3 linked regions of the Drosophila melanogaster genome follow. Changing the gene in region 3 together with the main gene of any one other region gives a genetic interaction. Each region holds a gene or a part of one and is shown on either strand. Other genes may lie near its edges.

What was found.
Region 1: of esg (region 3) and pros, changing one suppresses a phenotype caused by changing the other (phenotypic suppression), as found in Drosophila melanogaster (2 studies listed by BioGRID).
Region 2: of esg (region 3) and jus, changing one suppresses a phenotype caused by changing the other (phenotypic suppression), as found in Drosophila melanogaster (one study listed by BioGRID).

Annotation. Positions count from the first base shown.
Region 1 is NT_033777.3:11,326,512-11,330,266, reverse strand, and holds the start of pros (prospero), read right to left. Parts: upstream 1,788-3,755; 5' UTR 311-1,787; intron 1-310. UniProt on the Drosophila melanogaster protein: Homeodomain protein that controls neuronal identity. As a transcriptional factor, regulates the expression of ftz, eve and en in a subset of neuroblast progeny and modulates the transcriptional activity of other homeodomain proteins such as Dfd.
Region 2 is NT_033777.3:29,193,246-29,197,000, reverse strand, and holds the start of jus (julius seizure), read left to right. Parts: upstream 1-2,007; 5' UTR 2,008-2,113; intron 2,114-3,755.
Region 3 is NT_033779.5:15,332,135-15,335,889, forward strand, and holds the start of esg (escargot), read left to right. Parts: upstream 1-1,731; 5' UTR 1,732-1,959; coding exon 1,960-3,372; 3' UTR 3,373-3,755. UniProt on the Drosophila melanogaster protein: Transcription factor that can both stimulate and repress transcription. Binds to the consensus DNA sequence 5'-A/GCAGGTG-3'.

The sequences.
Region 1 (3,755 bases), on a different chromosome or scaffold from region 3:
ATTATCCATTTACTATTTGTCTTAAATGTCGTTCTCTTCTCGTTCTCTTCCAAAAATGATCAGTAGTTAAATGCTCACTGTTAATCATTTTCTTATGATCAAGCATCCCATAATAGATACTTTTCTTAATCAGAACATCTTTAAATTACCTAGATCTTAAAATATACGCTTCGAATGTATTTATTTCCCTTATTTCTCTATCTAAATTCTATAATTCTGAAAAGATAAATAAACCCCAATGAGTCAATGATTGATGAAAAGAATGGAGTAATGGTTGAAAAATGAATTTTTGATAGTGATCTTTACTTACCCTCAAATAAAAGTACATCGAAAAAATATCACATCACAACAATTTTTGATATTCCGTTTGCATTTAATGTTCTCTCTAAACTTTGATTAATTTTCTCACTAAGTTCCGTTTTTTTATGCTTCTTTTTTAATTTTTTTTTTTTTTGTAAATTTATTTTTATTTTTTTGATAAATTATTATAAGAAAATTTTGCACTTGTAAAATTTAGCGTGTAATTTTTGTTGCATTCATAGACTTTTTGGTTGTTTAAAAATTTTCAGGTAATTTCGTAGTTTTCGATTTCGAGTGTTGACTTCTGCTCTTCTTCGCCTTTTTTTTTTTTTGTTCTCTGGGGATCCTTTCCAAAATATTTGCTTGCCGAAATGCACAATACAAAAGGTGAATTAACTAAGGATCTACGTCTGAATTTGTAGAAACTGAGAGTGTGTCGGGACGATGACGAACCTTTGGCCGAGACTTGAAGACGGAACGGGCCAGACGATATCGAAATCAAATTCAGACGCTTGAATTTTTGCTCAAATCGGAATCGGTGCGGTACTGAAACTGGAGTTACTCAATCGTTTTACTTTATTATTTTGGTTTTTCGTTGGTTTCTGCTGCTGACGTTACGGACTGACTGGTATTGCCTGCTTATTTGGTTGCTTCTTGGCTTTGACTTGCTTTGTTGTGGCTAGTTGTAGTTGTTGTTTACGAACGAAATGTTGCGTTTGACTGGCGCTGATTATCAAGTGATTAATATTATCGATATTGGTAAAAATGTAACTTTGTCTATTTTGTTATTTGTTGTTGGCTGGCTGGTTTTGTTAGTTAGTTTTGGGAAATGAAGAAAAAACTGCTCTACATTCTAGTGCCGGCGCTTACATTGTCTTTGGCGCAAGCCGGCCGTGTGTGTTTTTGGGTTTTTGGCGGGTAATTTTTTGCACTCAAGACGGCATGGCGAGCGATGGCTGTTCGAGCCCCAGCCCGAGTCTTAGTTCGAAGGGCTGGCGGGCCAACGGGGCGTATGAGCGCCTGGGCCGCATTGCGTATACGTAGTGTGTTCCAGGCTGGGTGGTGTAGGTGGTACGTACATAGGTGTCTAGTCTTGCACTTCAAGTCATTTTGCACACACTTTCACTTTCACATTCACTTGGCACTTTTTTTCGTTCTCCTATCGTTTCTCTGCTTCGATGTCTCTCTTTTCTATTTCTATTTGTTTGTTTGTTTTTCTTTTGTTTTTCGGTATTTTTCTGTTGTAGAGTTTTTTCTTGGGGTGGCTAACTGCTTCTGCTACTGCCTCTGGGTTTGATTTATGCAGATGCGAAGAAGTCTGCGAGAAGTGGCGACCTGCCTGCCGACTGCCTGCCTGCCTGCCTTGCACTGCCTACTGATGTGCCTTGCCTGCTGTCTGCTGCCTGCTGCTGCCTGATCCTGGCAGCACGGCTCAGTTCGATTCAGGACAGGCCAGGACAGGGAGACAGCGAGAACCCGAGGAGCAGAAAAAAGCGCCGCAACTTGTTTCGCGTTTAGCAGTTTTCTGTTGCAATGTCCTGGCAAAAATTGCTAACGATGACGGGCCCCAGAGTCACAGAGCCAAAGCCAAAGCCAGAGCCGCTGTCGATGTCGATGGCGTCGTCGCTGCAGCGCGTTGATTATGAGGGACGCCAGCCCCTCGGCCGCTGATGCTAACGCTGATGGAGTAGGATGATGCGGATGTGGATACTTGGATACGTGGATACGGATGAAAGTGGCCGCTGGCCGGGCGCGAAACGCGCAAAAAAATTCCGCGGCTACGTCGCAGCTGCAGCGCCAACCGAATTGTCCTCGTCCTTTTTGGTTTGGCTTTGGCGCAAAAAATTGCTGCGACTGCGACGTCAGCGCCGCTCCTAGCTGCTAGTGTACATATACATGCAAACCTCGCACACAACCACAAACACACACACACACCCACTAGAACAGTGGGCGCACATATGCATTGCTGGACAAATCCAAAAACACAGAGAGAAACAGACAGCAACGCGCGCTCAGTCGCGAAAAATCAAAACAAAGCGCGACGACAGCGGCAGCGGCGTCCTCGCCAATACATGCACACTGCGAGAAGGACACGGACAATGCACATATCGCACACACACACGCTGGCATGCTGCCCCACACTCTTCACACTTTCAATCAAGAGCAAAACGCATTTTGCTGCGCCTAAAAATCAAACAACGCCAAAAAGTATGGAACACCCAAACCCCCAAACGACTGATGAGGTGGTTTTTGGACTGGGCAACTGCGTGGTGGTCTGTTTCGCTGACTGGGTGGCGAAAAACTGCAGCTATCGAGCCTAAGTGTACCTAAAACCCAGCCCCTTTTCCCGCCAGATGGACCATACCATTTCGCAGATACAGATACATCTGCAGGGAGGTAGTGTGGCAGCTGTGGGAGCTGTTGCTCCTGGCTGTGCACTGTTCATGTGCCCCATCCGTCCATGCATCCATACATCCCATCCGCACACCCACCAGCCGACAGGACCCGCCATGTGGCCATGTTTTGTTTTGATTTCGTGCTTCTCACACACATCCATATGCGGGGAAAATGCAATTTTTTCGTTTTCATTTGCAATGCCAAAGCAACAAAATGAAAATCGCAAAAAAAGAAGAGGGAAACCTGAAAGCAAAAAATAAAGCAAAACCCTAAGCGAAACGTAAAAGTTTTCTATGTTGCCCCTGCGCGAATGCAACACACATTTTTTTCCTATTTTATTTTGCCGCCATTTATGGGTGTTGGTTATTGGCACTGGTATTGGTATATCGTCAGAGTTGGCATTAAAATATCCAGCAAAGAAAACTGCAGCTGAAAAAAATGTAGAGCGTCGTCCGCACTCATACCCCGCCAAAAAGGATCCGCGACAACAAGAGCAACAATAATAGAGCCAGCATAAATTCCTACTAACTCATGCACATGGGGGTTCTGGGAAAGCGCATCAAAAAAGCGGAGAAAAATTGGTGGGCGAGTGCAGCGACAGCCACTGCAATTCTCTATGTACGTGCTCAGAGATATATGTGTCCATATATATGTACATATATATATGTATATATATATTATATATATGTATATCAGTGATATATAGACGAGGAGGCACAGATCGGAACTAGGCAGCGCCTGCATTTAATCCTACGCATCGCGCTCGTTACTCATACGCCGCGTATTCCCGGAAATGGATAGAACGCGGGCACAGGTCTGGGATGGCGCAGTTTAGGCCGGATAGGAACAGCAGCACCCACAATCTCCACCCAGTACATGAAGTTTATGGCTTTATCGATGGCATTGGCTATTGACTTTGCCACTGTGCCCGTTCTGCTTTTGCTTCGGGCTCGATATGGTTTTGGTTTGGTTTGCTATGGTTCGGTATGGTTTGGTTGGCCTTCGCAGGATATCAGAGAGAAATTGGGAATGCTGCTCATAAAGAGATTGCCAGATAG
Region 2 (3,755 bases), on a different chromosome or scaffold from region 3:
GCGGCGGCCAACCAGTTTTTAATGATCAAAAAGCAAATGGCCAAAACACACAGAGTTCCTTTCCTGCACAGTGATCCAAACTGGGTCACACATTAGTCCCTCCCCTGGTCGACGAATCGGATTTCTTTGCTCGGTTTGGTGGTCTGGGCCCGAAACTCTGGTGCTGCTCTAAGTGCTCCATTGCGAAATTCTATGCTTCTAATCGCTGAAAATGTTGGAAAATGTTGGAAAATGCTGTCCGCACTGCAACATGTTCCGCAGTTTGTTTACTTTGCGCCTGTTCGCTGCATTTTTCAGCGCGTTTTAATGTTTTAATTGACAGGCAGCCGCCGTTGGCGTTGATTTCGCTGAATTGAGTTGGCTCCGGTTGGGTTTTTCCTTTTTCTGATTTCTCAGTTGTGATTTTTTTCTGGCAGTTCGCTTTTCCCCCTTTGATACCGCTGCGTTTCGCATTTCACAGCTTCAGTCGGCGGTTTCCTTTCTGGGATCCGCCAACGCCATTCCTTCGTGGAATATGGTTTTCCACCACCTCATTTTCACTTTAGTTTTTGGCAAGGGGGATAATTGCAACAGCTGCTGTCAGTTGGAATACAAATGGAATAATTAAGTCAGTTCTTTAACTTTAAGCATTTGCTTAAATTTTCATTTATAAATTGTTCGGAATGTTTTAAAATAGTGTTTATACTCATTAAGAGAAATAATTATGCGAAATAATTATCAATTAAACTATAACAAATGGCACACAACACAGCTATGTGTTTTATAATTCCTATTTTCGCAGCATATTTTATAGCTAGAATGGTAACTAAATAAAAAATATAAATAAAGTGCCCAATTATTTCTGCTCACTTTAATTATCTTTTTTTTTTTTTTTTGTTATTCACAAGCACTGCAAACAGCATACCGAATGGCACACAAATTCTAATTTAATAAATGCGCAAATGACCAACAACACTTCGGGCCAAAACACACTTTTAAGTGCTAGTGTGTGTATCTACACGCACTCACACTTTGGGCCAAGTCAATACCAAACTTGTTTCATTAATTAAAATGTTCGGTTAATTATTCAAATTGCACGTGCCAGCGTCAGCAACTTTTGCGCACAAAACTAAATTGTTTGCTTTTGGCAATGTGTTTGTGCTGAAACGTGATAAATAATACTCTAGATTGCTGAACTTTACAATTGGACATTGGCGCTTATTTGCATTTCAAGTTGGCCGCACTGCAAAGGTCAGTTAACCCGGTGGCTTTGCTTTAACCGAAGGATCAGCGGGCCGAAAGGACATATCATCCATTATGGATGCGGCGAATGCGAATTTTCAACTCCCTGCACTGGGCAGCAGCATACCGAAATTTTCGGCCATTGAAAATGACATTTGCGCCACATCACACCAGGTCTTGTTACGCTACACAGAGAAAAATATACTAAAAATATTATAGAATTTCATTTTATTATGAATTAATCTATTCATATTTGTTTGATATTTTTGATTTTTTTTATATATAAAATACACTATTTACAAAACTTTAACGCATCAAGTCATGCCATTATCATAGAGTTTAAAAATATAAGTAAGCTAAATATTTTATCAATTAATATCTATATATAATATATATATAATATGCAAGCTGGTAATGTGTTTCTTTCAGTGCATCCATCCTCCGGCCAATGCATGCGAAATTTACTTCAACCTAAAGTACGAAAAAAGTGGGCAAACGAAGGAAAACTGCCAGCCGCCTTAAACCGATGTGCCATGTAAATAGTGGAGCTTGTGGGCTCAGAGGGGGGGATGGAGCGGTGGCCCGAGGAGGGGTCGAAAAATCCACTTCATCGGCGACGGTTGGCGCGGAAAAGTGTGTCACCTGCAGGCGGGAAATGCGCAGGTCCTGTGAGAGGAAAAGCGGCTGCCGCCTGATGGTGACTTTTCCTCGCAGACTTTTCACCAACGCCACATTCGCATTTTCCACCAAGGCTGTGGGAAATTCGGCTCAGAACGTGGTCAGACGTCGAAGCGCGTGGTCGTCGAGTTTTCCGAGAAAATCCAGTGGGAAAGCAAACAGTGCGAGGCAGCAGCAGCAGCAGCAACAACAACTATCTAGAGCAAAGGAAATTGTGAGCAATTTGTATTTTAGTAGTATATTTCTTACGCGCGTGAGTGTGTGTGTGTGTGTGAGTCAGTGAATGAGTGTGTAAGTGTGTGAATGTGGTGATGAACCGAACAGCGTGCAACAAGAATAAAAAACGAATGCCCAAAAGTGCCAAACACAAACAACAACAAAAAAAACGAGATGAAAACAGAATATACATAAATGGCAAGCAAATATTTTTCTTCTTGAGCAGGGCAAAGAAAATCACAAACTGCAGCGTATCCATGCCCTCAAACCAAAAAAAAAAGAAAAACAAAAAAATAAAACGAAGAAAACAGTGAAAAGCAATCAAAGTAATAAACGAAAAGGGGGGAATGGCGAACCGAACTGAAAGCAAATCAAAAAAATCAATGCCCTTTCTGCGGAATTATACGTTGCGTATACGTGATATGTACCGAGGTAGCCAAGTCAAATAATAATAAAGGAAATTCTCACGTGACGCATAAAAAAGCCAAGCTCGCACACACACACAGCGATGGCAACAGTAACACGGCATGCCCCTCAAACATACGCACACAGCGGTAAACTTACTACCTGGGACACAAATTGAAGTTGGCGAAACATATTTGCGCAGCAAAGTTGCTACACGCAGCGAAAACTCGCTGCAGTAGTTTCAAATTGTGGGGGGAAACTGTGATAAACACAATTCATAACCAGAAAAGAGTTGAACTAATCAGAAATCTATAAAAGATCTTAAAGTTATGGCTATTTAAAAGCAATGTGGTGCCTAAAGTTGTGGTAGTGCCTAAAAGTAGGCAATGGAATTTGTCATTCGTGAAATGTGACTTGCTGCGTATGTATATAAGTATGATTTGTGTGAAATATCATCATAGCACTGATGAAATTCAAACATTTTCTCATCTTTTCTTGCAAAAGTGTCCCACTTTTCTCCGCCTGCATTTGGAAGGCACATGATTATGATGAGCTTGCCTCGCAAACTTGTTTCTTTTTTGAGGCTCGTGGCTCGAAAATGACAACAGCTGGATGGCCGAGTGGGTGGGTGGCGGAAGATTGCCTTTTGCCGCATTTGTTGCCGCTATTTTGCATACATTGAATTTAATGAACTGCCTGTGTGCGGTGTGTTGGATTTGCTTTTAATAATTTAGGCTGCGCGCGAACTAAATGGCGCTTTTAAAGTACGAACCGTCAGGCGACCCCAATATGGGCGACAAACGGGCGAGATGAGGCACAAATGAAAATATGAAAAAGGGCAGGGAAAACACGAACCATTTAATGCCCCTTCGCACCCTCGTTGCGCCTGTATGGATACGCTGTGAGCTGGTGTGTGTGTGCAACCCCAAGTCGGAAGGGCAGACATACTAACACACTTCAGCCGGAGGACTACGTCATCCTGGCCCAGAAGCTTTGGGGCCAGCAGCCCCCCCCGACAAAGCCAAGCCAAACCACTGCGAACCGAACCCAACCAAACCAAAGCGAACTTCGCTGGGAGCACAACTTTCCCTCGACGTCGCCACATTTTCGCATTCACAATCACATCGCGTGGCATATCCATAGGCGTAAGGATACGGCATAGGCACATGGTCTGGCCTCCACTCACACCATCACACTCGCCTTGCCACACATATACACACAGAGTTTGGCGAATG
Region 3 (3,755 bases):
TAAAAAAAAAAAAAATCCCGCACGGTTAACATAATCGACGGCAGGGAATATTAAATTATTAATCGAGAAATCCCCTGAGAAAGCCAAAATTTCATTAATAAATCAGCATGTCGCGGAGAAAATGTCTGCCAACGACGTGCATTTCCCTTATTTTAGATCAAAATGTAACAAAGAACAATATATTAGGGAGTTAACAAAAAATAAACATTTTTTCCTCGTGCTGCAAATAAAAAGAAAGATTGCCGATTAAATAATTCTTTAGTGTCTGGCACGAAAGCAGAGGTGCCTTTACAAAGTTTGCTTAACCAAAGTTTGCTTAACTTTGCAAGAAGAAGGCCTATTAAGAGTACAAATCAAAAATTGATCCCAAAAATGTCTTTTTACTTAAAAGATATGTATTTATTTTGGTAACAAAATTAAATATAAGGGGCGGACCACGCCCACAATTTTTGGTATCGTAAAGATATAGCCTAGTGTTACCCAATAAAAAAAAAAACAGAAACTAAATATCTCTCTCCGTTTTGTCAAAAAGGTACAATTCAGCCTTTAGTGGCTTTGGCGCCTCAAACGTTTTTCAAATCGAAGAGAAAATTTCGAGAGCGAAACAGAAACAAAGTGGAATCGAAACAGTGAGAGTGAAGAGAAGCAATTGGCTTAAAGAGAATGCTTATGCTCTTTTTCGTACTGAATTTTAGCTTGGCTCTTTCTAAACGTTCTAGTTGTATATTTACCGTATTGTATTTCTGAGAAATTTTCCTATTTTTTTAAAATTTTTTCTGGGTATTTGGACAAAATCGAATCAAATCCAAGTCGTAAAATTCTCGCCAATTCGATTACCGGAACATGCCCGCAGAAAAAAATTCTATATCATTATCTAATGATGAATTACAGAATAATCATATTAGTACGCCGAAGTAGTAAAGCTATTAATTTATTATAAATATTCCTAAGGATCCATAATGAAAGATGTTAATATATTTAATATTGTTTACTTATAAACGGGGAATACAATATTTCTAAAACTTTTTACGCAAAATCGATTGAATATTGGTTACTTTTGATTCCGTACAATAACATACTTGTTAATAAACAAATTTAGTGACTACAATTACTACGTTCACTCCTTTCTCCTGCCAAAAAACATTTTATTGATGCAGAAGTCTACCTGCTCATTAATGCATCGCCCTGTGTCCTAAAAATGTTAGTATTTTATGTTGGGTACCTGCCCATGTTTTTTGCGTTTCAGTTATTAAGTCAACTAATGATGCACCTGATAATGATAATGAGGTAAAAGGAAACCCTTGTTCGCTAATCCTCCAAAAGTGGGGTTTTTCGAATTTCTAGTTAAATTTCTAGGTAAGATCATAGATCTCCTTATTGCGCATTGAATGCAAATGCAGAGAGGACGAGAGAGAGCAGCTGCGGAGAGCACGATGCACACAGGTAAACATATTTGAATATATGGCCCACACTAGAGCAAATATAACGGCATCGCTTCGTTTGCGGCTTCGATTGGTGCAAGTGTACGAGTTCGGCACGTGAGGCAATTCTACATAAACAAGGCGAAACCTGTTTAGCCGAGTGCCGCGATTGGTCGACGCATATACCTGAATGAACATGCATACTCTCGGCGGAACGCCCGAGAGAGCGTTCTCTTTTGGCAGCTTCGTGTAATGAGCCGAGTGCCGAGTGCAGGGGCAGTATAAAAAGGCCGCACCACCGCCAAACTCGCTCAGTTATTCCCAGACTCTAACCGATTCACATAACCATCTCTCCCAACGCAATATACCCGAAATATAACCGATATTCAATCGCTTTGCTTAACGGAACACGCGTTTGGTATTTGTGCATCGATCGAGTATTTGTGCCTGTGTGAACATGACACACTGAAAACAAAGTGACGAAAATTAAGAACATTTTACAACAATTCCGGTAAACTATCAATAAAAAGCCAGTAAAATGCATACCGTGGAAGACATGTTGGTGGAGAAAAACTACAGCAAGTGCCCGCTAAAAAAGCGCCCAGTTAATTACCAGTTCGAGGCGCCTCAAAATCACAGTAACACCCCAAATGAGCCGCAGGATTTGTGCGTAAAGAAAATGGAAATTCTGGAGGAAAATCCCTCCGAGGAACTGATCAACGTCAGCGATTGTTGCGAGGACGAGGGTGTGGATGTAGATCATACAGATGATGAACACATCGAGGAGGAGGACGAGGACGTCGATGTGGATGTGGACTCGGACCCAAATCAGACCCAGGCTGCGGCTTTAGCTGCTGCCGCAGCTGTGGCCGCCGCTGCAGCCGCCTCCGTGGTTGTGCCCACGCCCACATACCCGAAATATCCCTGGAACAACTTCCACATGTCGCCCTACACCGCCGAGTTCTACAGGACCATCAATCAGCAGGGTCATCAGATTTTGCCGCTGCGTGGCGATCTCATTGCGCCCAGTTCGCCGAGTGACTCGCTGGGCTCCCTGTCGCCGCCACCACATCATTACCTTCATGGTCGCGCAAGCTCCGTTTCCCCGCCCATGAGATCTGAAATCATCCATAGACCAATCGGCGTGCGGCAGCACCGTTTCCTGCCCTATCCACAGATGCCCGGTTATCCGAGCTTGGGCGGCTATACCCATACCCATCATCACCATGCGCCTATCTCGCCGGCTTATTCCGAGAATTCCTACTACTCCATGCGATCGATGACGCCTGAATCCAGCTGCAGCTCCTCGCTGCCCGAGGATCTATCCCTGAAACACAAGAACCTGAACTTGAATCTAAACACTAGCCAGCCGGGAGAGCAAGCAGCAGCCAAAACCGGGGATATGTCGCCCGAAACTATGCCGAATGCCTCCGCCAAGAAGGACAAGAACCAGCCGCCGCGTTACCAGTGCCCGGATTGCCAGAAATCTTACTCCACCTTCTCCGGGCTGACCAAACATCAGCAGTTCCATTGCCCGGCCGCCGAGGGTAATCAGGTGAAGAAGTCCTTCAGCTGCAAGGATTGTGACAAGACCTATGTTTCGTTGGGTGCCCTCAAGATGCACATTCGCACCCACACGTTGCCCTGCAAGTGCAATCTGTGCGGCAAGGCCTTCTCGCGACCATGGCTGCTGCAAGGACACATTCGCACTCATACGGGAGAGAAGCCCTTCAGTTGCCAGCATTGCCACCGGGCCTTTGCAGATCGCTCGAATCTGCGAGCACATCTGCAGACCCACTCGGACATCAAGAAGTACTCCTGCACCAGTTGCTCGAAGACCTTCTCGCGGATGTCCCTCCTAACCAAGCATTCAGAGGGCGGATGTCCTGGCGGCAGTGCAGGATCCTCCAGCAGCAGCGAACTCAACTACGCCGGCTATGCCGAGCCGTAAGGCAATATATTTATATATACATTATATAGCTGAGATCCCAGCCATGTTCCACCAAAAATTAGTTCCTAGCTCTCTTAGGCGGCTCCAAGTTCCCGAAACTCCCAGTGCAGACACACAACTTCAAGCAGAATTTCACTTGTTTTTTAATTTCTAGTCAGCATTTTCTCCCAGAAGAGAGAAAATTAAAAATTACGTTTTAATTTGTACAATCCGGCAACATTTTTGTAACCACCACCACCAATTTGAATAGTTTGAACCATTTTAAAATGTGTGCCCATAATATATCCTAAAGATGAACTTTGTAAAGTATTCTTCGATTTATCCTGTACATAATGTATTATGTCTAACTGTAGACTCTAAGCTGAACAAATGAAACGCCAGAC